Tamandua tetradactyla: one gene and its partners. The protein of the gene in region 3 interacts with the protein of the main gene of each other region in a pairwise test. Links are inferred from orthologs where the notes say so. Each region holds a gene or a part of one and is shown on either strand. Other genes may lie near its edges.

Evidence for each region.
Region 1: the proteins of TEX11 (region 3) and CCDC198 interact in binary tests that used the Homo sapiens proteins (3 or more experiments, as listed by UniProt). The two-hybrid records come from large-scale screens. The link is inferred for Tamandua tetradactyla from reciprocal best matches to the Homo sapiens genes TEX11 and CCDC198.
Region 2: the proteins of TEX11 (region 3) and HYI interact in binary tests that used the Homo sapiens proteins (3 or more experiments, as listed by UniProt). The two-hybrid records come from large-scale screens. The link is inferred for Tamandua tetradactyla from reciprocal best matches to the Homo sapiens genes TEX11 and HYI.
Region 4: the proteins of TEX11 (region 3) and NECAB2 interact in binary tests that used the Homo sapiens proteins (3 or more experiments, as listed by UniProt). The two-hybrid records come from large-scale screens. The link is inferred for Tamandua tetradactyla from reciprocal best matches to the Homo sapiens genes TEX11 and NECAB2.

Annotation. Positions count from the first base shown.
Region 1 is NC_135338.1:8,227,403-8,235,361, forward strand, and holds the start of CCDC198 (factor associated with metabolism and energy), read left to right. Parts: upstream 1-4,886; 5' UTR 4,887-5,107; coding exon 5,108-5,330; intron 5,331-7,556; coding exon 7,557-7,639; intron 7,640-7,959. UniProt on the Homo sapiens protein: May be involved in tuning the metabolism, energy expenditure, and excretion processes.
Region 2 is NC_135328.1:180,595,113-180,602,314, reverse strand, and holds HYI (putative hydroxypyruvate isomerase), read right to left. Parts: upstream 3,164-7,202; 5' UTR 3,097-3,163; coding exon 2,898-3,096; intron 2,813-2,897; coding exon 2,701-2,812; intron 1,431-2,700; coding exon 1,316-1,430; intron 1,152-1,315; coding exon 1,073-1,151; intron 984-1,072; coding exon 934-983; intron 821-933; coding exon 751-820; intron 631-750; coding exon 496-630; intron 370-495; coding exon 296-369; 3' UTR 211-295; downstream 1-210. UniProt on the Homo sapiens protein: Catalyzes the reversible isomerization between hydroxypyruvate and 2-hydroxy-3-oxopropanoate (also termed tartronate semialdehyde).
Region 3 is NC_135353.1:100,742,810-100,750,020, forward strand, and holds the start of TEX11 (testis-expressed protein 11), read left to right. Parts: upstream 1-4,190; 5' UTR 4,191-4,615; intron 4,616-5,181; exon of another isoform or gene 5,182-5,248; intron 5,249-5,446; 5' UTR 5,447-5,467; coding exon 5,468-5,504; intron 5,505-5,702; exon of another isoform or gene 5,703-5,724; intron 5,725-5,972; exon of another isoform or gene 5,973-6,550; intron 6,551-7,211. UniProt on the Homo sapiens protein: Regulator of crossing-over during meiosis. Involved in initiation and/or maintenance of chromosome synapsis and formation of crossovers.
Region 4 is NC_135342.1:78,662,110-78,669,524, forward strand, and holds the start of NECAB2 (N-terminal EF-hand calcium-binding protein 2), read left to right. Parts: upstream 1-4,227; coding exon 4,228-4,437; intron 4,438-7,415. Other genes in the region: OSGIN1 (oxidative stress-induced growth inhibitor 1), read left to right, coding at 1,642-2,590. UniProt on the Homo sapiens protein: May act as a signaling scaffold protein that senses intracellular calcium.

The DNA of each region.
Region 1 (7,959 bases), on a different chromosome or scaffold from region 3:
TATACGTCGAAAACCCGGAAAAATCCACAACAAAACTACTAGAGCTAATAAATGAGTACAGCAAAGTAGCAGGTTACAAGATCAACATTCAAAAATCTGTAGCATTTCTATACAATAGTAATGAACAAGCTGAGGGGGAAATCAAGAAACGAATCCCATTTACAATTGCAACTAAAAGAATAAAATACCTAGGAATAAATTTAACTAAAGAGACAAAAAACCTATATAAAGAAAACTACAAAAAACTGCTAAAAGAAATCACAGAAGACCTAAATAGATGGAAGGGCATACCGTGTTCATGGATTGGAAGACTAAATATAGTTAAGATGTCAATCCTACCTAAATTGATTTACAGATTCAATGCAATACCAATCAAAATCCCAACAACTTATTTTTCAGAAATAGAAAAACCAATAAGCAAATTTATCTGGAAGGGCAGGGTGCCCCGAATTGCTAAAAACATCTTGAGGAAAAAAAACGAAGTTGGAGGTCTCGCGCTGCCTGACTTTAAGGCATATTATGAAGCCACAGTGGTCAAAACAGCATGGTATTGGCATAAAGATAGATATATCGACCAATGGAATCGAATAGAGTGCTCAGATATAGACCCTCTCATCTATGGACATTTGATCTTTGATAAGGCAGTCAAGCCAACTCACCTGGGACAGAACAGTCTCTTCAATAAATGGTGCCTAGAGAACTGGATATCCATATGCAAAAGAATGAAAGAAGACCCATCTCTCACACCCTATACAAAAGTTAACTCAAAATGGATCAAAGATCTAAACATTAGGTCTAAGACCATAAAACAGTTAGAGGAAAATGTTGGGAGATATCTTATGGATCTTACAACTGGAGGCGGTTTTATGGACCTTAAACCTAAAGCAAGAGCACTGAAGAAGGAAATAAATAAATGGGAACTCCTCAAAATTAAACACTTTTGTGCATCAAAGAACTTCATCAAGAAAGTAGAAAGACAGCCTTCACAATGGGAGACAATATTTGGAAATGATATATCAGATAAAGGTCTAGTATCCAGAATTTATAAAGAGATTGTTCAACTCAACAACAAAAAGACAGCCAACCCAATTACAAAATGGGAAAAAGACTTGAACAGACACCTCTCAGAAGAGGAAATACGGATGGCCAAGAGGCACATGAAGAGATGCTCAATGTCCCTGGCCATTAGAGAAATGCAAATCAAAACCACAATGAGATATCATCTCACACCCACCAGAATGGCCATTATCAACAAAACAGAAAATGACAAGTGCTGGAGAGGATGCGGAGAAAGAGGCACACTTATCCACTGTTGGTGGGAATGTCAAAGGGTGCAACCACTGTGGAAGGCAGTTTGGCAGTTCCTCAAAAAGCTGAATATAGAATTGCCATACGACCCAGCAATACCATTGCTAGGTATCTACTCAAAGGACTTAAGGGCAAAGACACAAACGGACATTTGCACACCAATGTTTATAGCAGCATTATTTACAATTGCAAAGAGATGGAAACAGCCAAAATCTCCATCAACAGAAGAGTGGCTAAACAAACTGTGGTATATACATACAATGGAATATTATGCAGCTTTAAGACAAGATAAACTTATGAACCATGTAATAACATGGATGAACCTAGAGAATATTATGCTGAGTGAATCCAGCCAAAAACTAAAGGACAAATACTGTATGGTCCCACTGATGTGAACGGACATTCGAGAATAAACTTGAAATATGTCATTGGTAACAGAGTTCAGCAGGAGTTAGAAACAGGGTAAGACAATGGGTAATTGAAGCTGAAGGGATACAGACTGTGCAACAGGACTAGATACAAAAACTCAAAAATGGACAGCACAATAATACCTAATTGTAAAGTAATCATGTTAAAACACTGAATGAAGCTGCATCTGAGCTATAGGTTTTTGTTTTGTTTTGTTTTGATTTTACTATTATTACTTTTATTTTTTTCTCTATATTAACATTCTATATCTTTTTCGGTTATGTTGCTAGTTCTTCTAAACCAATGCAAATGTACTAAGAAATGATGATCATGCATCTATGTGATGATGTTAAGAATTAATGATTGCATGTGTAGAATGGTATGATCTCTAAATTTTGGGTTAATTTCTTTTTTTCCGTTAATTAAAAAAAAAAAAAAAGAGTAAACACACCTTTGCCAAAAATGCAAGGGAACCAATTACAGATCCCTTGCATTGTGCTTCTCAAACTTTAAGGTAACTTTATATTGCCTATGGATCTTTTAAAGTCAGATTCATGTCCTATGCTCTTTAGAACTGAGTTTGTGATATATGACTCTTCTCTAAAGTATTGAGTAATTCAGTAATCACTCATTATTGTAGGGTCTTATTTTATCATTGATCACATCATTTCTACTGAGTCAAATCACCTAAGCCTACCTAGTTTATGGCTACCTGTAATACCGGGGTAACATCCATTACTTGTGAAGAGCTGAAATCCTGCACTGGCCATTTTCCAAGGCTTTGAAAGTGTGATGAGATTCTACAGTGGAGGCTGGGGTCTCCCCACTTGGATAACTGGTATATATTATAGGGCTCCAGCTGCCTGCCCCTTCATAATATGAATGTGGTAGCTATTCACTACTTGCTGAACTCCTAACCACTCTGTTGCTTCAACCACATGCTCTCAATCCTAATTCTCCCTGTTTTATCCTCCCTGCCCTTCTAAAACCCCATTGTGTGACCTGTCTGACTGCTCACTGGGCTCCAGAATTCTGACTTCACTTTGGCAGAAAGTTTTTGGGAATATTTGTCAATCAGTCACCTGTGTCTACTTCAGCCTCAGCGTCATTTACCTAATTTATCTGGGGCTTTTCCAGTGCTATACAGTCTCCTCAATCTACTAGAAAAGGTTTCCATTCTATTCTGTTAAACACAGACATACACACACACACACACACACACACAGAGATTGAGCAACTAGAGTATGTCAGCTACTATATACTTTATTGTGAAAAAAAGTAATTGATGCAACTTTCTGCCTGCCTTTAGATCACCTACTTGTGATCTCATCTTTTTCCTTATAATGACAATATTTTGTATGACTGCATGTGAATTCAGCACATTAGGTTGGTACAAATAAGATTTTCAAAAGGAATAAAAATAGCTTGTCAATAATAAGAGTGAGATATAGTCAAAAGAGGAAAAAAAATCAGTTAGAAAGTTATAGAATTGTGATAAGAAAACAGATTCTTATATATCTAAAACACTGTCAATTTATATACATCATTTTTCTCTCATTTTTACCACTCTGCAAAGTGTGGAGAATAATGAAATATTCTAAGTAATTTGAAAAAATCAGAAGCAAAATGTTAAAAAAGAAAAATACACGTTATTTTCTGATTTTCTTTTTCAGAGAAAGAAAGCAAAGCTACACTGATAGTCACAAAAGTTCCCTCAATTATTTCCCTAGCTTCATTCTTCCCCCAGAGATAATCACTGTATTTTGATGGGGAGTATCCATGTTAGGTAGATTTGATGCTTTGATTATTTATGTGGAAAGAAACAATGTGTGCTTATAATTTACATAAATAGTGTACGTATATTGCTCTTTTTAATTTGTTATAACTTCATAATTTACATTTTTGAGACTTGTGTATAATGTAGATAGCTCCTTTTTAATTATTGTATGCTATTTCATTTGTATATGTTTATATTTTCATCTAATTGCATGTTGATGGATATTAAAATTGTTTCCATTTTTCTTTTGCTCTCACAAACCATGGAAAAAAAAAAAAAAAATGAAAGCTGAATCTTTCCCACTGGGTGATATCCATAAAGTCCACTGTTTTCAGTATAATTTCCAGTTCATCTGCTATTTTGCAGTACATTCCTCTGCTCTCAGAAATACTTAAAGTAATTATATCCCAAAATAAATCTGACTTGATATTATCTGAGTACTTCAATCTTTATAATTAAATAGTCTCTAGTTACCAAAGGTAATTTTGTTTGCAGATACTATTAATATATAATTATTTCTTCCAAGTCACTCTGCCACAAAGAAAATTGTGTATATAATTCAAAGGGAATAAGTCAGGGGAAAAATTAAACTAAGATATCTTTGTACAGGAACTATATTGGCTATCAAGATTTTCCAAAGATTGTATTATGCACTTAGCAAATGGACTCTGCAAAATTGAAAACTAAATTTCTTTGACCTTCTCTAAGGGGATTATGAAAAACAGGTAATCTATGGTTGTGAACAATTAGAACTTGAAAATGAGTTCTAAACATAAAGAATAAAATAAAAATCACCCATAATCCCACCAAATATTTTAACATATTTCCTTCCCTTCCTGTCTTTTTCTGTTTTTTTTTTTGTTGTTGTTTCATTTTTTGTTTTTTTTAGTAAATAGTCTATTTTTTGAAAGCTCAAGATTTATACAAAGATATTCTGCAGGTAATTCAAGAAATTTGCCCCTTACCCCAGAGAGAGAAAAATCCTCCTATTTTCTTTCTGCTTTCCTACAGTGTACCTATCCCCTTCAAAGACAATGTTATCGACAGAGAAATAGAATGATTGAATCTTTAAGTTCTTTGCTTCATTTTTTCATATTTCAAAGATGCATTTTTTTAATTAAAATTAAAGATGACAAAGCCCTCGGTAATTAGCATGCATCTTCTTATTTCCAAGGGTGACTTAGCTACTTTTGATTAGTGGATCTCACAAATGGTAATTCCAGGTATGCACAATGAAATGATCAAGTCTGAGATTTCTGCTCTGCATCTCTGGTAATGACCTTCCTGGTGTTAGAGATTTGTTTAATGATTAATAGTGGTTTCCATTTCCTACCGCTGAGTCTTTTGGAAAGTAGCATAACCAAGTCAATGTATAACTGGATTCTTCTGGTTTAACTGGTGTGGAATGGCCAAGTAGGAGTTGAAGGAATGTATCCATGGAAACCAGCCTCCCAGGAAGTAGCCAGTGGGGTTACTGCCTGGTGAATAGTGGTAGAAAGATATGAAGAAATGACTGTTTCGTAAATCTAGGAAAAACTGAAAGGAAAGCTTCTGAAAACGAGCTCCATTGAAAGCCAGTAAACACTTCCTCTTGAGTTCTCCTTTGAATGTGAAATGGGCTTGAACCACTCTAAGGCTCACCCTAGGGTGACAAAAGTCGCACCTTTAGAAAACAAGGAGGGAGAGGCTTCTCCAGCCAGCCCTGTGGACTTTGCATCCCGTCAGAATCTGGAAGAAAAGAGTTTATTTTCCTTGGCAAGGCTTCAGGACCAGAATAAAGCTCTGGCAGGGCAGCTGCCTCCTCTACGAGAGACGTGGTATGGAAGATATTCTGCAGGTGAGTGTCAACTGCAGCACGCATTAGGGTCAAGAACTATGGGTAGATTCACTTGACTTGTCTATTTCCACAGTCTCAGAAAGTTTCTAAATTATTGAAATGTAGGGGAACATCTTTTCATGGGGACCAAATGTTTACCAGTTGCAAGTATTGTTCTGGGTACATTAGAATGGGTATGTAAACTATGTGTAAAGAGCTTTTTTCATCATCGCACATGAGAAGAAAAGACTCATCTTTTCCACTTAGTTTATAGTTCCACTGTTTAGAGAGGACTTTGCCAGGACATTAAAATTACATTGATATTGATGTGTAAAAGATGGCAATCATATGTTTCAGCTAGATTCTAAATTTAGATCATTGTCTCAGGTACAGTTTAACCCATCAGGCTTTTTCATTTTGAAGGCAACACGGTAGGAGTGAATCTATTCTAATGCAAATTGGGAAACCATCCCAAACAGAATTGATTTATTGCAGTACAGATGAGTGGAGGATCAGCCTTTCCCCAACCCAAATCTTTCATGCGATGAAAGAGCACTGTGAAGTTTTTCCCACTGTGATTGGAAGCTTTGAGACTGAAGTGACATAAATTACTCCTGGATATTTTATAAAGCACGTAAGGCATGTTTTATGGCAACCAACATGATAATTAAGCAGACACTCCAACCAAATTCATTTTCTCTTTTCTTCACATTCTGAACCAATAACAGAAATAAGTTCCCCTCATCGGAGGACTTGGCCAAAGAGCCTTGTATTCTCTTTTAGCACCTAGCAGAGCTTACCTAGAATGATTTTCATGGATGCTTTCTGTAGAACTGATAATTACCCAGAGTTTTAAGATTTTGGTACCTGAATGGTAAAAAATGGTCCTAGTACTTGAGCGTCCCAACTAGAAAATGTGTTTCTTTTTGAAATGGCAAAACTGTATTCAGAAACAAATATGAAGGGGATGGCCAGAGTTCTGATCACTATTTCCAAGGGGCTCACGTTCTAAGCCCAGTTCCATCCACCAAATACCAAATCACATGGCCTTGGGAAAGTTATTTAATTTTTTTCACTTAAAAATCAGGGATAACAATAACAGCCTGACACAGCCCTTGGCATCTTAGAAAAACTAAATTAAATAATGGAGCGCTATCGTTCAAACCACAGTATAAAAATAAGTAGTCAGCCTTCTTAAAAATATTTGACCAAAAGATTTATATTTTGAAATCCAGTAAGTGCTTTGTTTTTCTCCATACTGAGGGCTGCAGCTATTGAAAGAAAATAAGAACATTGTTCTTATTCTACTAAAATTTAGAGAGAAGGAAGAGTCTTTAAAGTGGTCACCAATGTCTTGAGGATAGAGACACACAATTACCAAGGATTCTCCATTTAAAATGCAAAGCGGAACTGAAAGATGTTCTGTACAGCAACCTAGAATTCACAGTCCCTCCTGATTGTTAAAAAGAAAGGGCAAGACCTTCATTCATGTGGCATTGGTCACATTAGCAGTCCCAAGGGCCTAGGAGAATCAAGATAAAAAATAAAATTCGCAGTGGATCTGTTGACCTCAGTGTTTCCTAACAGAGGCTTAATCTGTAGCCCTGGCTTTTACCCCAGGTAAGAACATTGATATTTTGTATTACAATAGCAACTTGTGGGAATTTCTTTCCCTAGTTGGGGACTCTGTTTCATCTGAAACATGCAAAGCTAAGCATTGCACACACTCCTATTACACAGTCACGCTCCATTTCATTATCATCTAATTATCTGTATCTATCTATCTATTCATCCATCCATCTATCTTACTTATCATATATTTTTGCACTGGAAAAGAGAATTTTATTTTCATATATTAAAACTATTTTTTTCTGATTTCCTATACTTTACGGGAGATTTCATGGAAATATTATTGATTAATGAAAATCAATGTTTGTATTTTCCAGGCCAAATTCTATGTTTGAAAAGCATTTGTAGTCAATACATTGTTAATTTTGCAGCTTTCCCTCTAAATAGCAACCCAGGGAGAAAATGAGAGAGACAGAGATTAAATCTTGTGTCCTGGCTAATAGTTCATTGCTTGCATTCATATTGGGTCCCTGCTTTGTATTTCATCTCCACATTCAGACTATAGGTTAGGCATATATAACTGAAAAGACCCGTAATTGTATTAACACTCAAATAAGTAATGATCAGCCTAATTTAATAGTAAATTGTTTGTTCTTATTTCTCTCCCAATCCTTCAAGTGCCGAGGGCCATGTATTTTGACCTTCTCCGGGAACAGGGAGAAACAAGTATTATTAAAAGGCATCCACCCAGAAGACTTCAAGTAAGATGAATTTAAAAGGCTTCATAAAGAATTTCTTGGATTTAATGGTAACATCTCTTTTTAATTATAATCATAAGAGAGACAGATTAATAATGACCAAGCTGTTAATGAGGATGTTGTTAAGGAGACTGCTATCAATGGCAAAGACGATATTTCTTTAGGATTTTACTTGTGTAACTATTTCACTTTGAAGACCCATCACCAAAAAAGTCAAGTATAGTAGCAAAGAGGTAGACTTGGTGTGAATCCAGGGTCCTGAATCTAGCACTAATTAGTGGGATAACTATGGAAAAGTTACTTAGTAACAATAACAACGGCAA
Region 2 (7,202 bases), on a different chromosome or scaffold from region 3:
CTTGTTTTCTCATCTGTAATTGTGGAGATGGGCTCAGAAGCTCTCTCATCTCTACAGCAACCCTGGCAAAGACTGGAGGACTTGAGCATAAGCTGTATGACAGCCCTTTTCAATAGGAAGGAAGCAGCCCAGAGAAGCTGAAGGGTTAAGAAACTGCTGTCCACACCTCCTCTCCAGCCCTCTAACCCTAAATGCATATACATGTGAAAATGTTGCACAGGTTGTCTTTAATTCCAAGGAGACAAAGACTCTCACTCAGCTGTCACAGAGAGGCACATGAATGGTATGCAGGACCTCACTGGCCAGCCTGTGGGTAGCCTCGCCTATTCCAGTATGAACGGAGCCAACTTAAGCCCTCTACTGTGTCTCCTGAGGAGAGAAAGAGGCAGTGGCATTTCAACCAAGAAAAAAGTCTCTGTCCAGTTAAGTCCCTGCAGTGCTCCCTTCCCCAGGGCCAAGCCTAGAGCCTTACCCATCTTTCACCTCACCCCTCACCTTGAGGCCGGTACTCGCAACCCACAAACCCTTTGTAGCCTTCGTCTTCCAGCAGCTGTAATAGGTAGGGGAAGTTCAGCTCTCCAGGGCTTCCAGGTTCCCCCCGACCTGGGACCTGTGCTATCTGCACATGCCCTAGGGACAGATATAGACAGATGTGGGGCCCAGGCCTGAGGAAGAGATGTAGGATTGAAAGGGTGGGAGGGCACAGGAAACATAGCAGATTAGGAAAGAGCAAAGAAAGGGACCCCTCACCAACAATGGGGAGGAACTTCTGGATGTTTCCTGTCAGGTTCCCATCCATGATCTGCCAGTGGAATATGTCCTAGGGAAGAAAATACTTCAGAGACCCTGCAGGCCCCTGCTAGTCATTTTTCCATGCTCCCCAGATTTGGAGAACATGGGCTCTCTGAGAAACACTTGCATTCTTCCACTTACCATTTGTAACTGGAGGTTAGGTCTTCCAACTTTCTTTAAGATGGCAGCCGCTGGGAGAAAAAGTCAGGAAGGAAGCCATGAGACTCAAAAATACAGGAATCAACAGGGACAGGAGGAGGCATAGGGCTGAGAGTCCTACCCTGCTGGGGTGTATCCAGGAAGTACTGGGGATCAGTGATGCGGGTGTTAATGGGCTCCAGCAGTCCCACGAGGTTCTCCTAGTGCCACAATGTATGCTGTGAATGAAGTTCCTCCCCACATTTGTCCCTTCACTCCCTGTCCACAGCCTTGTGCTGCCTCACTTGCTCTCCCCACTGCACTTCCCTCAGCATACACCCAGACACATTTAAGTACGTGTGCCAAAATGTGTTTCATGTCTTACCTGAGCCAAAACCCCAGCAGCGTGCCTCAGGTTCTCCAGAAAAACATTCTCCATCTCACCCCTAACAACTTCTCGGTCGGCCCCCTGGGGTATACGGCCAGCCATCAGGTGAATGCTGTGGGGAAGATGGAACTGGAGGAGTCTGGTAAGTCCATCCTAGAAGCAGAGGCCTTCATGCCTTTGGTTCCCTATGTGCACTTCCTCCAGGATGCCGTGACTATGCCAGGTCTTCAGTTCACAACACCACCTGGACCATGATGCTCAGGCAGCCAAGAAACCTTCTTAGGGTCAACCTATTTTCCTGGGCTCTAAATCCCATTCCCTCCTGACAGTCCTCAGTCCATCATTTAATCCTTCTTGTGCTTGCTTTCCTTTGGCCCCTTCTCAGCCTAAAGGTATGCTTAATTCTCAACTTTTAAAATTTACTTCGACCCTTACCCTTCTCAAAGCATTCCATGTTGCCTGTCTCTACTTCCTCTCCTTTTTTTTTTTTTTTGTATGCTGTATGGTGGGGTCACATTTCATTCTTTTTCCATATGAATATCCTGTTATTGCAGCACCATTTGTTGAATTTTTGTTTGTGTTTTTGTTTTTTTTGTTTTGTTTTTTTGGAAGCGCCTGGGCTAGGAATTGAACCTGGGTCTCCTACGTGGCAGGTGAGAATTCAACCACTGAACTACCCTTGTACCACCTCCTTACATCTTTTTCCACCCCTTCCCATCTGTGTTTTGCCCCCACCACTTACCAGTAATGAATCTTGTTGCCAGTTCCTTCTTGGCTGATTTGACCTTTCCAGGAGTTGACCTTTGTTTGATCAGACCCACTCTGAACCTTCCACCTCCTCCCTGATATCACCATCTGGTCTTTCTCAGCCACAACCAAACTTCGGACATTCCCTTCCCTCCCCACACCAACAAGCTCCATCTCCGCCTCATGAACCCCGCTAAACACACTTGAAGCCTGCTGAACATACCAACTCTCCTCTCGGCTCTGACCAATGGTCTTCCCCTCTTGCCCACGAAGTAACTCCTTCAAGTTCCAGTTCAAGCATCACTACCTGTAAGAAGCTCTGGCCCTGAGGGGTTATGTGCCAACTCTGCTCCCATGGTCTCTTGAACTGACCCCTATCATAGAATGGGTTACTCAGTATATTTTACTTCTCTATCTCCTTAGTCAGCTCCTAACATAGGATCCCAGCAGGAAATGAGCAGAGAATGACACACAACATAAAGAAAATGCAAACGGTAAATTAAAAAGGACCAGGATTGGCTAGGGTGGGCAGAGCTGGTGCAGTCAGCTGAGCCTTCCAGACCTGGGTTATGGGTCAGAGGTAGGGAAGAGTCAGCCAAAAGGGGGCATAAAGGGGATAGGAAAGGGTAGGATACCTGGGACAGCTCAAAGCCTTGGCATACAGCACAGCCTGCTCCAGTCCCTCTCGGAAGGCCGCCTGCCTCCCAGGAACGGCGCCCAGCCCCATTTCCCCCTTCTCGCGGTCTCCTGTGGAGAGAACGAGCTTCAGCCCCCAGCTTGGACGCCCGGTCCTACCCCGTGGTCCGACCCAGTCCCGGCCCGGCCGGCGCACCTTGGGGCGTGTTGATGAGCACCAGCCGCAGTCCTGCGTCCTGAGCCGAGCGTGCCAGCGTCTCTGGCGCCTCCGTGTAAGGCCAGGCGATCTCGGCGGCCTCGAAGCCCGAGCTGCCCGCGGCCTGGAGTCGCGCGGGGAGGCTGGAGAGCTCGGGGAACAACCACGACAGATTCGCCGAGAAGCGCAGCGGAGCCATGGCCAGGCTGTGACGACAGGCCTGGGGTCAGATCCCTTGGCCGACCGGAAGGCGGAAGGCGGAAGGCAGACGAGGTGCACAGAGGCAGGGAGCGCTTGGAAGGCCGGCCCCAGCTGAAACTGGCTGCAGTTCTTGCGGGGAAACTGCGGGCGGGGAGCCCTGCCGAGAGGTCGCTTGGAGCTCTGGGGCCTTGATCAGTCGGAGAGCCTCAGAAGGGACGTGGGCGAGATCGCGCTGGCGCCGCCAGTCGTCTGGACGCAGGGAGAGAGGCTCGGGCCGGTAGGAGCCCGGCCGAGAGCTTGCTTTGGCTGCTTTCAGAGTAAACGTTTATTATTTTTGGTTAGGAAAGTAATGTGTTGGAAAAAACCTTGGCCAGTTCAGAAAAGTACATATTTTATTTCGAGATAAGATCATGGGAAGGGGGCCGAGGAACGGAAGGATGCGAGGGAGAGCAGTTTGGCCCGTTCTTCGGTGGGATGGGCAGACCCGGAAGGAGAAGAGGGGCCTGGGGGTGCGGAGGCGGCCGAGCAGCGTGGTGCGCCTCCTTGACAACGGGAGTGGGGACGCAGGGGTATGGGGAGGGGGGAGGGGGCCGGGGGATCTGACCCAGTCCCGCGGGCCCAAAATTAATGGCTGTAGACTTAACAAATAATACTTAGTATTTACCTCAATTATAAAAATATCTCATTATGGAATATCTGAAAGCTGTATGACTGAATAAAGAAGAATATTAAAACCACCAGTTATCGTACCACTAATCTGTTATCTTACTCTTACATATTAAAGAAGTAAACGTAGTTTTGGGGGTTAATTTGTTTGTATAAAAATTCTGACAACACTGTATATAGGGTATATCCCTGTTACACTTATTTTGTGAGTTCGTCTCGGTATTCCTGAATATTCTTGAAAGTCATCGCATTAACTGCTTATTGTTCCACCCCACAGGTAGCCCGTAGTTTATCATGCTATTCTGTTGATTGAAATTACGGTTTTTTTCAACATACAGCAAAAGGGCACTTTTTTTCACCCCTTATTCCCCGTTTCTCAATCTTTTTCTTAGGTCCCTTTTCTAAAGATGTACCTTCCATTGCCTGCCCGCGGAAAGTCCCTTATTAGAAACATTGGCCACCCACCACCATTGGTCTCTGCACAGGGTTATCTGCTCACAGCCACGGCTGATTGGACCATGGAGGACACCTGATCCAACGGCAGCCAATCCATAAGGGGACCAAAGACCCGTGCATTGCTTGGTTTGGAAAGGTGACCTGATGTTCTACTTTTGCAAGCTGTCGAATGAGATATACCAGAAACAGAACAGCAATTAAAAAGAGGAATTTGTTAAGTTGCTAGTTTACAATTCTAAGGCTGAAAATGTCCATATTAAGGAAAGACTATGGAAATGTACAATCTAAGGCATCCAAGAGAAATACCTTGCTTCAAGAATGCCGAGGATGTTTGGGGTTTCTTTCTCAACTGGAAAGGCACAGAGCGAATGTGGAGAGGTCTGCTAGCATTCTCTCCAAGCTTCTTGTTTCATGAAACACCTCTGGGGGCGTTTTCCTTCTTCATCTCCAAAGGACTCTGGTTGCCAGAGCTCTCTCCAAAATGTTTCCTTTTTTAAAGGATTCCAGTAAACGAATCAAGACCCACCTGGAATGGGTGGAGTCCTTTCTCCATATAATCAAAGGTTAAAACCCACAGTTGGGTAAGCCACATCTCTGTTGAGATAATCTAATTAAGTTTCCAACCTACTGTACTAAATAGGAATTAAAAGAACCGGCTGCCTCCACGAGATGGATCAGGATTAAAACGTGGCTTTTCTAGGGCACATAACCCTTTCAAACCCACACATCCGGCCAATCAGATTCCCTCTCTGGAGAGTTCAAACAAGGAAACACTGAAACAGTCAAATAAGAGGTGGGAAGAGACACCTGGAAGAATTGCTGGAAGATGATTGGGACTGATCCGATAGGCCATGTGCAAACAAGTTACCAGGGACTAGAAACTATAAAGAAGCAGTGATTAGATAATAAAAGAGAGCTAGGGCAGAGAGGATGGTTTCCTAGTCAAATAAGTAGAGGTGGCACATTGAGAAATTCCTATTGTTGAGTTCCCAGGGCTGTCAAAACCCACAGCCACTCCCAGATATTTGCTCTTCCTGAGGCTGAGATGTTTAGGTTTTCCTGGATTCCTGGGTCTGTGTAGTCTTAACATTTCTTGAGACATCTTGAATGCATTTACTTGCATCTACAATAACCCTACTGATTGGATAGATTCCTAGAAGTGAAATTACGTGTCAAAACTTAACATTTAAGTTCTAGATGACTAGGCTAAATTGCTTCTCAAACATGTAACAGTTTATATTCCAATAATACATAAGTAGAAATCACCTTGATCTATGTTCTCTGTTAGCTTTGACAGAGGGAATCTCAAAATGCAGCTCTTGTTTGTTCTGTCACGTCTCCTTTCCATTCCCAGATATAGAGGCCCAGGCTAAACCCATAACTCATCAAAGTACTTGCCTGTTTACATTCCTTTAATTCTTTCTCCAAGAGCAGACTGCAACCATCAATAGTTACCTGAATTGGAAGACTCAAACATAGTTAAGATGTCAATTATACCTACATTGATATACAGATTCAATGCAATAATAATTAAAGTCCCAAAAGCTTACTTTTCAGGAATAGAAAAAACAAAAACCTAATATATCTGGAAGGGCAGGGTGCCCCGAGTAGGTAAAAAATATCCTGAAAAAGAAAAATGAGGTCAGAGGTCTCATGCTACCTGAACTTAAGGCGTATTACAAAGCTACAATGGTCAAAACAGCATGGTACTGGCATAAAGATAGAAACACTGATCAATGGAATCGAATAGAGTGTCCAGATATAGACCCTCTCATCTATGGACAATTGATCTTTGATAAGGCAGTGAAGCCAACTCACCTGAGACAGACAGAATAGTCTCTTCAATAAATGGTGCCTAGAGAACTGGATACCCATATGCAAAAGAATGAAAGAGGATCCATATCTCACACCCTATACAAAAATTAACTCAAAATGTATCAAATACCTAAACGTTAGATCTAAGACCATAAAACTGTTAGAAGAAAATGTAGGGAAATATCTTATCAATCTTATAATAGGAAGTGGTTTCCTAGACCTTACACCCAAAGCACAAGCATTAAAGGCAGGTTGGTAAGTAGGTAGGGAGGGAGGAAGGAAGGGAGGGAGGGAGGGAGGGAGGGAGGGAGGGAGGAAGGGAGGGAAGAAAAGAAGAAAGAGAAAGGAAGGAAGGAAGAAAGAAAAAGAAAAAAAGAAAGAAAGAAAGAAAAGAAAGAGAAAGGAACTCCTCAAAATTAAACACTTTTGTGCATCAAAGGACTTCATCAAGAAAGTAATAAAACAGCCTACACAATGGGAGACAATATTTGGAAACGATAGATCAGATAAAGGTCTAGTATCCAGAATATATAAAGAGATTGATCAACTCAATGACAAAAAGACAGACAACCCAATTACAAAATGGGCAAGAGACATGAACAGACATTTCTCAGAAGAGGAAATACAAATGGTCAAAAGGCACATGAAAAGATGCTCAACTTCCCTGGCTATTAGGGAAATGCAAATCAAAACCACAAATTAGATATCATCTCACACCCACCAGAATGGCCATTATCAATAAAACAGAAAACAACAAGTGCTGGAGAGGATGTGGAGAAAGAGACACACTTATCCACTGTTGGTGGGAATGTCAAATGGCACAACCACTGTGGAAGGCAGTTTGGCAGTTCTTCAGGAAGCTAAGTATAGAATTTCCATATGACCCGGCAATACCATTGCTAGGTATCTACTCAGAGGACATGAGGGCAAGGACACAAATGGACATTTGCACACCAATGTTTATAGTAGCATTGTTTACAATTGCCAAGAGATGGAAACAGCCCAAATGTCCATCAACAAACGAGTGGCTAAACAAGCTATGGTATATACATATGATGAAATATTATGCAGCTGTAAGACAGAATAAAGTTATGAAGTATGTAACAACATGGATGGACCTTAACGATACTATGCTGAGTGAGATTAGCCAGAAACAAAAGGACAAAT
Region 3 (7,211 bases):
AAAATGTTGCCTAGATACCCAGGTTGAGTAAGGTAAGGCCTGAAAATGGTTGATTGGTTTTATCTTTTAGGAGGTAATTGATGATCACTTCAAGAGCTGTTTTGATCAGGTGGTGGGGTGGAAGCCAATTGTAGTGGGTTGAGTGATTGTAGGGTGAGGAAAAGAATACAGGAGCTATAGGCTAGCATTTGGGGGCAGTAGCTGGAGGGAATGAGGGGAGAACTTTTGGATTGTTGTCTTAAGAGGTATGGATGGGGTACTATGAGAATTCACAGAAGGGAGGTCTGGAAAGGCTTCATGGATATTGAGGCTTTTAAGCAGAAGTTAAAGGGTAGGTAAAATGTGTTATTTCAGAAATGGGGAAGGGCATTCCAGAGGGAGGGAACATTTTATGCAAAAGCAAGAAGTTGGGAAAGCTTGTGATTCATTTTGCCTGGAGCCTAGGAATTTGAAGGAGTGAAGTGGAAAAAGAAGGCAGGAAAGTTAGTCTGGGGTCAGACTCTTGAAGGCGATTAATTCTAAGGCCTGAACTGAAGTGTGTAGATAAGTGTTATAAAATTGAAGAAGGGAGGGAGTGGTTCTGTGGTTTGACTCAATGAATTCCACCTCGATTACCCACTCACATGATCATACCCTAGATCTTGCCATCACCAGAATGTGCATCTCTGAAATCAATAATTTAAACATCAAGTTCTCTGTCCACAACTCTCCTAGATTTCCCAGCTCACTTCCTCAAGTGGCCTCAATAATCATCCAATTCACTGACCTCCTTCCCACACACTTTCTTTCTTTTCCTCACTCTACTCCAATCTTTACTTGCTCCCTTTCCTACATAAATTACTGAATTTATTATCATTATCGTCACTCGTTTGCAAATATCCTCAATCCCTAGGTAGCACTCCAGAGTTCCTCTGGAGGAATCCAAACATCTTCTTCATTCTTTCACCTGTGCAGTTCAGGAATGTCAGAGGAAATCACACAACTGGGCAAGCTAACTAACTGGGCAGCAAACTGGGCATTAACCTCAACTAGATGCTCAACACTCTGAAATAACGATTTCTTACCTCTTTCACACTCCCCACAGTTCTCCTTCCTACTCTCTATTGACTTTGCTCGTAGTTTGTTGAGAAAATTACATACCCATCAGATAAAAACTCCCTCATCTTCCTGTGTTTTTTTTTTAAATGAAAATAGCTTTCCTCAAGATAAAAATGTGTTTATTATAGAAAATTAAAAAACACTGGATAATATAAAGAAGAAAGTAAAAGTTCTTCAGAATCCCACCATCCAAAAACAAACATTCTTAACATTTTGTTAAATATCTTTCCAGACAATTTTTGTTCACGTATGCCTAAGATTTGCATACGTATTACATACCTTCTCTGTAATTTTTTTTCCTTTTTAAACTCAACAGTATGATATAAGCGTTTTCCCAGTTTTATAAGTACAGGTTATTTTCACAATAATGTTTTAAAGACTGTATAGTATTCCATTGTATGGCCCCAACGTACCATAAGTTGCGTAACTAGTGCACTACTGGTGAACATTGAAGTGGTTTACAATGATTCAGTGAATGTTTCCTTAATATGTTTTAGCACATTTTCCCAATTTCCTCTTTAGGAAAATTCCTAGAAGAGAAATTCTTGAGTGATGAGATAAACACATTTAAAATTTGATACACATGGCCAAACTTCCCTCCAGAAAAGTTGCAATAATGTATGCTTCTATCAGCAGTGTCCAAGAGTGTTTGTTATGTGTATCTTGCCAACTTGAGATTTTTGCTCATCTTTTTAATCTTTGCCAATCTGATAGATGAAAAACTTACCTTGCTTTAATTTGCATTCTATGATTACAGATGAGGTCAAACATCTTTCATGTGTTTATTGGTTATTTGTCTCTTCCTGTGTGAATTGTTGAGCGTATTCTTTACTCATTTATTTACTTGGAGTATTTGTCTTTTTTCTTAAGAGCTATTTTTGTGTTAGAAATATTAACTATCTGTGATATATATTGAAAAAATTTTTCTGGGCTGTGGTTTGTCTTTCAACCCTGTTTATAGAGTCATGCAGAAGATTTAAAGCTTTATGTAGTAAAACATCATCATTTTTCCTTTTTTGATTCTGGTTTTCAGATCATGTTCAGATATTGCCATTGTCATCTTTATAAAATATTTGCTCTTATTTTCTTTAAGGAATTTTATGATTTCATTTTGATCTTTGATAAATCTAGAATTTATTTTGGTGTATGAAATAAAGTAGGAATCTATTTTTTTTTTTTACAAATTACTATCCAGTTATTCCTTTCAATGCTCTTGAATAATCCATTTCCCCCCCGATTTGAATCATTTCTGTGTGTGTGTGTTTGTTTTACATATCTGTTTCTAGACTCTATTCTTTTCCATTTTAGTGTAGTTTTAACATCTGATGGAAAAAGCCCCTTCTCCCTTACTCCATTAATACTTCTGTTTTAGAATTTTCTGATGATTATTCTATAATTTCATGTTTATTCTGAAGGTGTTTTTCTTCTTCTAACAAAGTGTAATACACCTTATTACCCAATTTGCATTCCTGGCTGCTTACTTTCTTTTAATCCACTGTATTAATGAGAGTCTTAATAGGATCTCATTAGAGTCCAAGTTGTTCACCTGCCTTATGCACTATATACATTTCACCATTTCTGTATCAATTTTTTACAGGGAGGGGCAGAACATTTATAGTTGATGCTAGGGTAGGGAAGATAATGCACAGCATGTTGAGTGACACTTAGTGGTGTTTTATTATTCACCCTTGTATATGCTCCTCAATATGCACCTGCTTCTTTTCTTTCCCCTCCGGTCTCCTCCCTAGTACTTCCTTGCTCACTCTCCCGCCCCTCTTTTTTAGTTTATTCTCTCTCTTTTAATCCTCACTTGGCTTTTAATGTCTAGGAAGGTCATTTGGATCAAAAACAAGAAATTGAAGATGCCCATTCAATGTAAAGGCTTTCACCCTTTCTATGTATTTTCCTTGATTCACTGATTGTTTCAGTGCACTGGTGTCCGCTCTGTAGTCCTGACTTTGGGGTCATATTAGTGATGAGCATTATTCAATAGAGTCATGTGATTCCTGTATGCTTTACATAATCTTTAATAAGATAATCTTCACTCTACTATGAGCATTACTAATCACTAAGAGGTCTGCGATTTATGTGAAAGGGCCACTGTAGACTTGAGAGATGAGGTCTCATTATCACTTTTTTTGTTCATCTTATTGATCCATGAACAAATAAGTCATGGTGCTGGAAGTAGAGGCCTGAGTGGGATGATGGGAATTGGGAGTCCTTAGTATGCCAACGAGGTTAGGGTGAATGATAATGGAAACTGACATTTGCCATGTGCCTACAATATGCTAGCCACTGTTCTAGATGCTTTATGTACAGTATTTCATTGAACCAGAAGGCTAGAAATAATTACTTTTATTCCCATTTTACAGAAGAGGAAATCAAGGCACTAGTATATGTTGTATGGGAATTCTGTCAACTATGGGATAATCTACTGCCCCTTTCATCAGACTTCTTTCCCTAATTTAGTGATCTACACTTATGAAATGAGGACATATTAAATTGGAGGATGCAAAAGAAGAGAAGTTAATAGCAATACTTTCTCAGTTTTCCTGTTTCTCTTCACTGTACTATATGATCCAGATGGAGAAAATTTTGAATAGGGGAAAAACTATTTTTAGAGCCCTTCATTACTTTCTGTGATATATAAGGACTGACTCCAAGACTTTCAGGGTCAGGAGGGAACTCTATCCATGTTCCCAGAATGGAAGCCACAATTTCTCTTGTTCATCCTGCCAGCCATTTCTACATCTGGACTGAGATGCACAAGGTTTCAAAGAGGGTGTGTGAAGGAAGAAGTAGGAGACTTGTTAATGTTTTGATTGTGGATTATTTTCCAAATCTGGAGGCAATCATGCCTTAACACATTCAGCATCTGCTGTCTCTGGGTGGAGGTTTCAGAACAGTTCAATTTCTTGTCTGCAAACATTACCACAAGTTTAGCTGGAATCAAACATGTTTACCTATATATCCCACCCTCACCCCCAAAACCATTTGTCTGAAGATAGACGGAACATATGATCTTACTGTGAGCATGCAAGGGTGGGAGATGGGGGGCATTAGGTAGTTTCCTTCAGATTTGGCCAGGGCAGGGCAACAGAAACATGTCTTGGAACTATAGGATTTTTCAGTCTCCTCAATTTCTGACCTTTGCCATTCTTCAATAATCAGAGGGAAACATACTTTTTCACCCACCTGCCCCCAGTCCAAAGGTCTGCTCTCATCTTTCCTGTAATCCCTGTCCTCTGCATTCTTCTCTCAATTGATTGCAGTATATTTCTTATATCATCATACTTGCTTGCTCTCAGTGATTCTCACCCTAGATTTCTGAACTACATCCCTAGGGCCTAAGGTCTAGACTGCGCCCCAAGGCACAGATTCTGTGATACAGGGCAGCGCCTGTTGGGCGAGGCAGTTGATTGCGTCACTACGAGGGGAGGAGCTTTGTGAGCGTCATCTTGTGGTGTGGAAGGAGCCTGAAGAGAAGACAACTTGGCGTTGTCGGGTCCTCGGTGAGGTGAGTGTTTTAGTGGGGAGGACGGGCTAGAGGAGGATTCAGGCACAGGCTAGTTGAGTGGTTTGTAACAGCAAGATGTGGCCACTATCCTAATACTTTTTTTTTTCGTGGGCAGGCACGGGAAACGAGCCCTCTGCCTGCTGAGCCACCGTGGCCCGCCCTATCCTAACACTTTTTAAAGAATGGCCCTGAGGCAATAACTTTGGCCTACTGAGCTTCTGAGGGCTGACTTTTAGGTGAAGGGAGAGGGGCAAAGTTAGTGTTTTTTCTGCCTTAGGATAGAGTTTGGGGAGCCGTGCTGGGCCACTGAAAGCGGGAAATAATAGTTATCGTAATTTGGATGTGACAGACTTAAAACCCCGTTGAAGCTAGATTCCGTTGAAGCTAGATTCCGTTGGACTGCGCGTTGGGGGTGGGGAGCTGAAGGCGCTCGCTGAGTCTTTGAGAGCGGGAAAAACAACGCTGAGTGATTGGATGGTTTGAATGTAAAGATGTAAATGGGCCGGCGATTTTGAACCAATTAGGAGGAGGCAATGAGAACCAGCCAGACCAATTACAGGGTACCCCTGAGCCCTGTTTCTCTCTTTACTAGGCAGCTTTATGGGAAGAAAATCGCTAGTCCTCTAGGGGGAGGTAAAATCTCCTCCTGGTCCCTTTTGAGTCACCCACCAGCCTGCCCCGCCCCTCATTAACTACATTTTCTAGGTTTTTAAATATCCTCAGCCGTTTTTCCCTTTGAATAGCTAGTAACAGGAAAAATTTGATTGTAAAGAAATTTATTGAGAAACTAGATGATAAAGGAAAGACTAAAATATTTTTTTTATTTCCTAGGCCTGAACCAGAGATTTTAAAATGGAGGCTGCTGATTTTCGCTTCATGGACTTTAAAGGTACGTAGTTTTACGTGGTCATAAAGAGAATGTCAAGTTGTTCGCTGCCTTATTTTAGGTCTTTTTTTTTTTCACATGGGCAGGCACCGGGAATATTTTAGATCTAAATGTTTTTTGTAACCAACTTTTATCTCTTTGGAGATATTTTTTTCCAGGTTTTCTCAATTATTTACCAGGAAAACAATGTAGGTGCTTGACATGGGGACCCTTTTATGTACTAGTTAGTGTAGGGAAAGAAAATTCGCAATTCATAACTTGTTTTTTCAGGATTTTTACGGTATGCAAAATAAAACTGGTTTAATCTGAACTTTATCAATAGAAATTATCTGTGTAAAAGTACATGTAGGTGACTATAAAGGATTAAAGATAGCTGCTTTTGAGGCAAAGGTGTCTATAAAAATATGAATGATGCAAGAACTTTACTTAAAATTAATGACTACCCCAATAATGAGGTGCTGAAAAACTGAGTACTAACTCTGGAAGAATGGCAAGTAAAGTGGGTTAGCTGCAATATTTTATTTCATCAAGAACAAGGACATCAGCTATTAGAGAGGCGTTTGGATACTTTACTTAATGGCAAGAGTGGACAAAGGATATTTTTCCCTCTTTATGGGAAAGCAGTTGAAATTAGATGGTTTGCAGACCAGAGACATAGCGTAGTTGGTGTGGAGATCAGTGAACTGGGGATTCAAGATTTTTTTGAATCAGTATTCAAATTGGTGAATTTGACACGATTTGGGATAGAAGAGCCTTAGTCACTGTTAATCCAGGTGATCGAGAATGTGATGTTAATATAATGTCCCTAACAAGAAAAGGGTTCCAGTATTTCATGTTTGGTTTCTAACGGTCCACCTAAACATAGAGGCCCACCATTTTATAATCCAGGCACTGAAATTAAAAGTTTGTTTGGCCCAAAATGCAAAATTCATTGTCTTGAGAAAGTTGATGCTATTGAAGAGTGTCATAAAAGTTGGGGAATTGACACTACATATTTGAAAAATTATATCTATTTGCAAACAAAATCTAGTACATCAACATGTTTTTGAGCATTGGAAAATCATGTTCAAGCAGGAAAATATAATGAATGACTAAAAAAATCATTTACCAATCACATCACAGATCTTTGTTCAAAACTATATACTTATTATTTTGAGAACGTACACAATTTTGATAGTTAATCAAATGGTATTTAAGATAGTGTTTAATATTTGGAATCTAAGAAACTCTGATATTTGTATCTATAGATTTTTCCTTCCTTGCTTTAATTTTAAATTGGCTTATGAAGACTCGTACAAACAGACTTTACAATCATTACTTAGATATTTTATTTAAATATGCATATGGATAAGCTAACTAAGATATCCATTTTAGGTGTTTAAAGTTTCATATGTTAATTATAAAAACATTTGTATCTTCATATTTTCCTGAAATCAGGAAAATGTTTAATAACATAGGTCATTACTGTTACAATGTAGATATTTGTAATAACTTTCTACTTGATATTTTTAAAACATTCACAGTTTTAACAACTGATCAAATGGTATTTAAGTTACTGTTTAATATTTAGAATTTAAGAACTTTGCTCTCTGGATTTGTAGATTTTTTCCTTGTCCCCTTAATCTTAAATTGGTTTATGAAACTTGGTGTGCAAACACAGGTTTTACAATGGTTATTTGAATACTTTATTTGAATATACCTATGGTTACA
Region 4 (7,415 bases), on a different chromosome or scaffold from region 3:
CCCTCATGAGAAGCTGTCCCAGGTGTCGCCACCATGCTGGCATGTTTCCTTGTATTAGGGCTGCCCTTTCTGTCCTGGGGGCTGTGACAGGGCCCTAGGGCCTCTTTCGCAACTCAGTGTCCAGCTCTGCAGGGCTTCACTGTCTGTCTCCTGAACACAAGGAATCTCTGACCCTAACATTTTGATAGGAAAACATCCAGGCTTGTGTGATGATGTGCTAACAGGCAGACGGGAACTTAAACTTCATGGACGCACATGCCCTTTTATATCTTACCTTTAAACTTCAACATCACATCCTAAGCATTTCACTGGTGACTGGGCAATGATTGCAACTGTCTGTTGACACGGCCACACAAGACTCCCAAGGGTGCACGGGCACCCTGTCTCCACTGAATACCTCACTGCATGCCGGGCCATGTGCTCAGACATCAGGGCCAAGAAGCATGCTCCCTTGGCGCTGTCCGGTTATGGAATTTTTAGGTTCTTCCCAATTTGTGGTTACCATAAATAACCCCATGGGTAACACCTTCTTAGGATAGTTATCCAGAGAAATAAGTTCATTTGCAGAGTTCAGGTTCCAGTAGCAGAGTGACCGAGGTGGGTTGGCCACAGTGGACCTGGCCTGAGTTTACCCTACACTGTGGCATTTCCCAGATGTTGTGTTGCATGTTGCATGTTATTCCACATGCAGTGAGCTCATCCTTAGCTGTTGCTCCACACACTGGGGAAAGTAACTTGCCCTATGTCTTGGTGCTGGGTGGAAGGAGGAGCTGGGATTGTCCCAAAGCCTCGAACTCAACCACTGGCTGCATGGGACCCTGCAGCCATTGCCCTCAGAAAGAGTGGCAATATTATAACAACAATAATCATAAACTGCCACCATTCTTATGATGCAGGCTGGGCACATTGCTAAGTGCTTTACATGGAGTATCTTAAAAATAAACTGGTTATTTGAATTGAAGCACAGCCCACGTCTAGAAAAGTACACAGCTCACCTGTGTACAGGTGGATGGAGAAAGCCACCCAGACCCCAACGCCCCTCCCTTCCCCTTCCCATCTGCCAGCCCATTCCTTCTCCCCAGAGGAAACCACTAATGACGTCCACCTCCATAGATCAGCTTTCCCTGGTTCTGCCCTTGATAAAAACAGACTCATCCCCTATTTACCCAGACTGCTAGTTAACCCTTTTGAGGTAACAACACTGGCAAGACCTATGTGTCACTGGCTCCCACCACATTCCATTCTCAGCACTTTATATGTAGTCTTCCCAGCACCCTCATGAAGAACGCACTGCCACCATCATCCTCATTGCACATGTGGGGAAACTGAGGCACAAAGCCCACCAGGGCAAAGCCGGGATTTGAACCCGGGCAGTCTGCTTCTGGAGTCCGCTGGCCCTCTCAAGCCCACCCTGCACCTCCGGCCTCTTGGGGTCGGGGTCAGGGCCCGCAATGGCTCCATTTTACCGAAAAGGAGCCTGAGACTCTGGGCAGCTGAACCTCTGGGCAAGGCCTGCAGCTGGCGCGTGGTGCAGCTGCTGTCTGAGCTGCAGGTCCTGCCCCTGTCCCTGCACCACCTATCCCCTGCCACGCCCCAGGAGGCTCCCTGACACCCCCTCCCCTCCTGCGTCCTTTCCCGCAGGGGTCTGCGCAACAGCCGGGCCACAGCCGGGGACATCGCCCATTACTACAGGGACTACGTGACCAAAAAGGGTCTGGGCCGGAGCTTCGTGTCGGGCGCCGTGGTCACGGCAGTGCGGTGGGGGGCGCCCCAGCCCGGCAGCTCCGGGGCCCAGGACCCCAGCCCCCTCTTCCAGGTGAGCGGCTTCCTGGCCACCAAGGAGCAGAGCCGGCAGCCCTTCTCCCTGTGCGCCCGCAACGTGGTCCTGGCCACAGGCACATCCGACAGCCCCGCCCGGCTGGACATCCCCGGGGAGGGCCTGCCTTTCGTCCACCACGAGCTGGCGGCCCTGGAGGCGGCCACGCGGGCGGGCGCGGTGACCCCGGCCTCGGACCCCGTCCTCATCGTGGGCGCCGGGCTGTCGGCGGCCGACGCCATCCTCTACGCCCGCCACTACGGCGTCCCCGTGATCCACGCCTTCCGCCGGCCTGTGGACGACCCTGGCCTGGTGTTCAACCAGCTGCCCAAGATGCTGTACCCTGAGTACCACAAGGTGCACCAGATGATGCGGGAGCAGTCCATCCTGTCCCCCAGCCCCTACGGGGGCTACCTCAGCCTCCCCCAGCACCAGCTGCTGCTCTGCAAGGAGGACCGCCAGGCCGTGTTCCGCGACCCCGCCGGCCACCAGAAGGTCTTCGAGGTCTCGCTGGTGCTGGTCCTGATCGGCTCCCACCCAGACCTCTCCTTCCTCCCCGGGGGCGGCGCCGACCTCGCTGTGGACCCCGACCAGCCGCTGAGCGCCAAGCGCAACCCCGTGGACGTGGACCCCTTCACCTACCAGAGCAGCCGCCAGGAGGGCCTGTACGCCATGGGGCCGCTGGCCGGGGACAACTTTGTGCGCTTCGTGCAGGGCGGGGCCCTGGCCGTGGCCAGCTCCCTGCAGAGAAAGGAGACCCGGAAGCCACCCTAGTGCGGGGCCCTTGCACCCTCGCACCTAGGCCCTGAAGAGGAGGGGAGATGACCCCAGCCCTGCCGGGCGCAGGGCTCCTCCGAAGACGCCCTGGGGAGCAGAAGACGCCTCGGCAAGCAGGAGTGGCGATCCCAGGCTGTCCCAGACTCCCGCCAAGGCCCAAGATGCAACGGTGGGCACAGGCCGGGGCAGGCCCAGACCCACGATTTGGGGTGAAAGCTGCCGGCATCAGCTGGGCTCCGACAGCCTTGTCCAGCTCCCCAGGGCCAGCTGTCACCCAGCCGGGAGGATTCCAGGCCCTGCTCCTTCCAGGTCCCAAATAAAACCAGCGCCTGCCTCCACTCGTGTCTGAGGACTCTGTTTGGGGTGGGGTCCAGGGCCCTGGGGCCCAGCACTGGGAGCTGGAAGGAAGCACCGGGCTGTGTGGGTGATTCCCTGGGTGAGGGCCATGGGCTGGGGGACCACAAAAGAGCAGGTACAAGGGCAGCTGTGTTAGAGAAGCAGGAGGAGAACTAGGACAGGAGTGGTCTGCTGTGTGGGGGGCGTGGTTCACAGACCCTGCCCACCGCACCAACCTTTTCCCTGCCCCCACTCCATTGTAGCAACACTGTCTCCATTCAGCCCATGCTGGAGCTTGCCACAGGGCCTTTGCACAGGCTTTTCTCATCTCTCTTTAATTTCTTCTCTTCCTTTGAATCTCTCCGGATAAGGACCACTTCCTCCAGGAAGCCTCTGCTGACAAGCCCCTCACACAGCAAGGCAACCCGTCTCCCCCTCCCCCATGGCCCTCAGTCCCCCTCCCCCCACTTCATAGCAGTTTTAATTGCCCATTCCAGTGACTGCCTCCACCCCATTGGATATAAGCTCCAGGAAGCCAACGCCCTGCCTGTTCTGTCCAGCATGAGATGGCTGGGCACGGGCCCTGGCACCTAGTAGGCGCTCCTTAACTATACCTTGAGATGGATGGATGGACAGATAGACAGAGTGTGCGGTAAAGAGGGTATTCTGGCGTGGAGACTGGTTCTGGGGCGTTGTGTAATTGGACGGGGGGACCTGAGAAGATCCGGGAGGGCAAGGGTGGGTGCCCGCTGGAGTGATGCGGGAGCCTGGGGCGCGTGGGCGCCGATCCCCGCAGCCGGCGCCGGCAGAGGGCGCTCGGGGCTCGCCGGACACCCGCGGCGGCGGCGGCGCCACCGGGCGGGGGCGGCGGTGGATGGGTGGTGGGTGGGAGGGGGTAGTTACCTCCAGGTGGCGGGGGTGGGGGGGACAGACTGTCGAGGGGTGTAGCCCGGCGGTACGTCCCTCCCCCAGCGCCCAGATCCCCACCAACCCCGCGCAGTCCAGCCGGGGTCCAGCCTCCAGGCCCCGCGCCCTGGTTGGGGGTGGGGCGGTGGACACGGGCACGTGGCTGGGGTCCGGGCGGGGCACCCCCTCCCGTCCCCCCTCCCGTCCCCCCCTCGCTGGCGCCGGCCCGTCCCCGCGGTGTCCGCGGCCGTGGGGGCCGAGGGAGGGAGGGCGGGGCGCGCGGGCGGGCGGGCTGGCGGCGCCGGGGAGGGGGTCGCGCGGGGGCGGGCCGCGGCCGGGCGGGGGTCGGCGGGCTTCCGGGCGGCGGCGGCGGCGGCGGCGGGCGCGGCGCGATGTGCGAGCGGGCGGCGCGCCTGTGCAGGGCCGGCGCGCACAGGCTGCTCCGGGAGCCGCCGCCGCAGGGCCGGGCGCTGGGCGGGCTGCTGCGCTGGGTGGGCGCCAGGATGGGCGAGCCCCGGACGCCGCTGGCCCCCGTCGTCCCGGTCGCGGACCCCGGCCCCGGCCCCGCCTCGCCGCGCGGGGGCACCGCCGTCATCCTGGACGTGAGTACGCGCCGCCAGGGACCCCCGGCGGGAGCCTCACGGCGGCCCTGCCCCGTCCCGGCGGGACCCCCAGGCCCCTTCTCTCTGAGCAGGGGACCCCCGGCCCATCGCCCTCGGTCGCCCGGAGCAGGACCTTCTTCACCCGCTCCCGCCGTCTCCCGGAACGCGAGCCCCCAGCCCCTCCACGTCCCGGGCCGCTCCCTTCCCCGGACCCCCCTCGACTTCTCGCTGTCCCTGTGTCAGGACCTCCGGGGCCCCTGGACCGGGCCGCCGTCCCCTTACTTTTGTCTAGCCAAGCGCCCATTCTTTCCCTAGCCCTGCCCCCCACCCTATACCCCTGTCCCTTCCCGACCCGGAGCCCCTGACAGCTGCCAGCCCCTCCTTCTCCTTCATTCCCATCCAAGTTGCTACTTTTGTAAGCCCCCACCCCCACCCCCAGCAACCTCCCGCCCCAGCCTCTCTTCTTCCTTCCTCTCCACCCCGAAGCCCTGTGTTCCTATTCCCAGATGAGAGACCCTTTTCCTCCAGCCCCTCTTTGAAAATGAAGCCCCCTCCTCACCTCCTGCCTCCCCCTCTCCTTTCCAGAGGATTCGAAGCACCCCCACTGCCCTGGGCTCCTCTGGACTTCTCCCCCATTCCACCCCCCCACTCCCTTCACCGTTCCCTGTCTCCCACCCGGTCTAGTTCACTTCATGGACCCCAGACTCATCCCTTCACCCACCCGCACCCCGCCATCCGCTCAGGGACCCACACTGCACCCCTCTGAGGAGCTTGCCCCACCTTCCCACCCACCCCCTGCCCTGAGAGGGAGGGTTCTTGTGGGTGGATGGCATGGGGGTGGAAGACTTCTCCCTGCAGAGGGGCTCGGAGGTGGAGGGGCTTCAGCCCCCTCCCTCCACACCTTGCCTTGACAGCGTGGGGGTGCAGGTGTGCGTGCCCCAGTGAGGGTCCCGTGTGTGTGTGTGTGTGTGTGTGTGTGTGTGTGTGTGTGTGTGTGTGGCTTTGGGGACGGGGGTTGGGAGTGCCTGTGAGAGTGTGTTGTGGGTTTCTGGGAGAGTTGTGTCTCTGTGAGTGTGTGCATGGTGGTGTGTGCATGTGTGTACAGCGGATCCCTGCGAGGGCGGGGAGCCTGGGTTTCCCCTCTCCCTCTCTCCCTCTCCTTCTCCCTCCTCTGCTCTCTCCTGGAACTGGAGCTGGGTCCGCGGCGAAAGGGCTGGCCAGCGCGGGGGGGTGCAGGGCCCTGAGCGCTTGTGGCACCTGTGGGCTCGCTGCAGAGTTGGTGGCCGCAGACCCATGCGGGCTCTTCCCGGGAATCCCATGCGGCCCCATCCCTGGGTCCTCTCCTCTGAGGGCGATGTGGGATGGGGGGTGCTCTGGAGGGCTCTGAGCTTCCATCTCCTTGTCTGTGAAATGGGGGAGGGGGCCGGGAACCCCCAAGTGCCTGAGCACATTCCTGGAGCTGACATGTCGGCTGCGTCCCTGGGTTTGTTTGGCCAATGGCGCCAGGCTCAGGGGAGGCTCTGGGGATCCCCAGGTTGGGACCCCAGCCTTGGGGGTGTGCCCAGTCAGGAGGAGGGCGATGGCATGCCCAGGCTGGGCTCTGAGGAGGGGCTGGGGTGGTCTGATAACTGCCCCCTTTTCTGCCCCAGCCACAGTGGTTCCTGTCGGGGAGCCAGGCTCAGGATTCTCCTAAAGGGTAGGGGGGTGGGGACAGGGCAGGAGCTGGCTCCCTAGGGGGTCTGGGGGCGTGTTTAGGAAGCCTTCCCTGAGCTGCTGCCTAGCTCTGACCACTTCTGGGGCCTGATAAGGACCAGTGGCCCCTACCCCCACTGCTTACAGGGAGGTGGGATGGGGAGGGCAACTCTCCTCTGCTCCAGGGCCACAAGCCTCCCCCCACCCTTTGTCAGTGCCCCTTAGCTGGCCCCACCCAGACCACCCCATGTCTCAGAAAAACTTGGGGTGCCTTGGGCAGGACATTGCCCCTCCATCCTCCTTGCTAAAATAAATCAGTTCAACTATGTGGGGTCCAGTCTGAACCCCAGATCCTTCTCTTTTATAAGCACACAAATCCCCCAAGTGCCTGTTTAAAATGCAAGTTCTGATTCTGAGTCTGTGTGGGGCCCTGAGATTCAGCATTTTTAACAAGCTCCAGGTGATGCTTCAGAGACTGGTCCTTGAACTCGCCCCTTTGTATAGCGCTGTCCTAGTGCACAGGTTTCAACATTGACTGCACCTGGGAAGCTTTAGAAATGCTGATACCTGGGCCCAACTGGAGACAGGCTGATTTCATTGTTCTGGGGTGTGGCCTGAGGGTTTTAAAAGCTCCCCGGGTGATTGTGGCATATGGGAGAAAGGGAGAAATTGCTGGGTCAGCTGCCTGTTGGGGGTTCCAGCCTGACCTTGATGGACACGGAGCAGCTCTGCCCCACGTGTGTGCAGGTGTGTGCATGGCACTGGGAAGGATGCGGGAGACAGCGTCCTCTGGTCCAGCCTCGCCCAGCTCAGGAGAGGTCCCCTGAGAAGAGAGTTGAGGCCGGCGTTTGGGCTGCCCTTCCCCCCTTCCCTGCTGGGTACACCAGGCGCCACCTTCCTAGCTCCTGACAGCCTGCTTCTCCCTGCACCCCACCTGATAAACAGCCGAGCCCTGACCCGTGGCGAGTCCAGCCGCTCCCTGGGCCTTGCCCCTCCCTTAGGTGCCCCTATTCACACTTGATTCACCCTCCCGGAGAAAACTGGGGCTCCCGAGGGCCTCAGGGTGTGTGGTGGTGGAAGGTGTGCCCGTGGGATGCTAATTCTGAGCTGGGTTGTTTGTGACTGGGCGTGTGTCAGTGGGTGAAGTGCATGGATGATGTGCGCACACCTGTGTGTGCACGCGTGTGTGTCGGCGTGGCTGTGGGCAGCTGGCAGCGCAGAAGGGAGTGTGGGCGGCGGCTTCCGCGGCCGGCTGCTGGGAGAAACACCCCTCCCCAGGGCCCAGC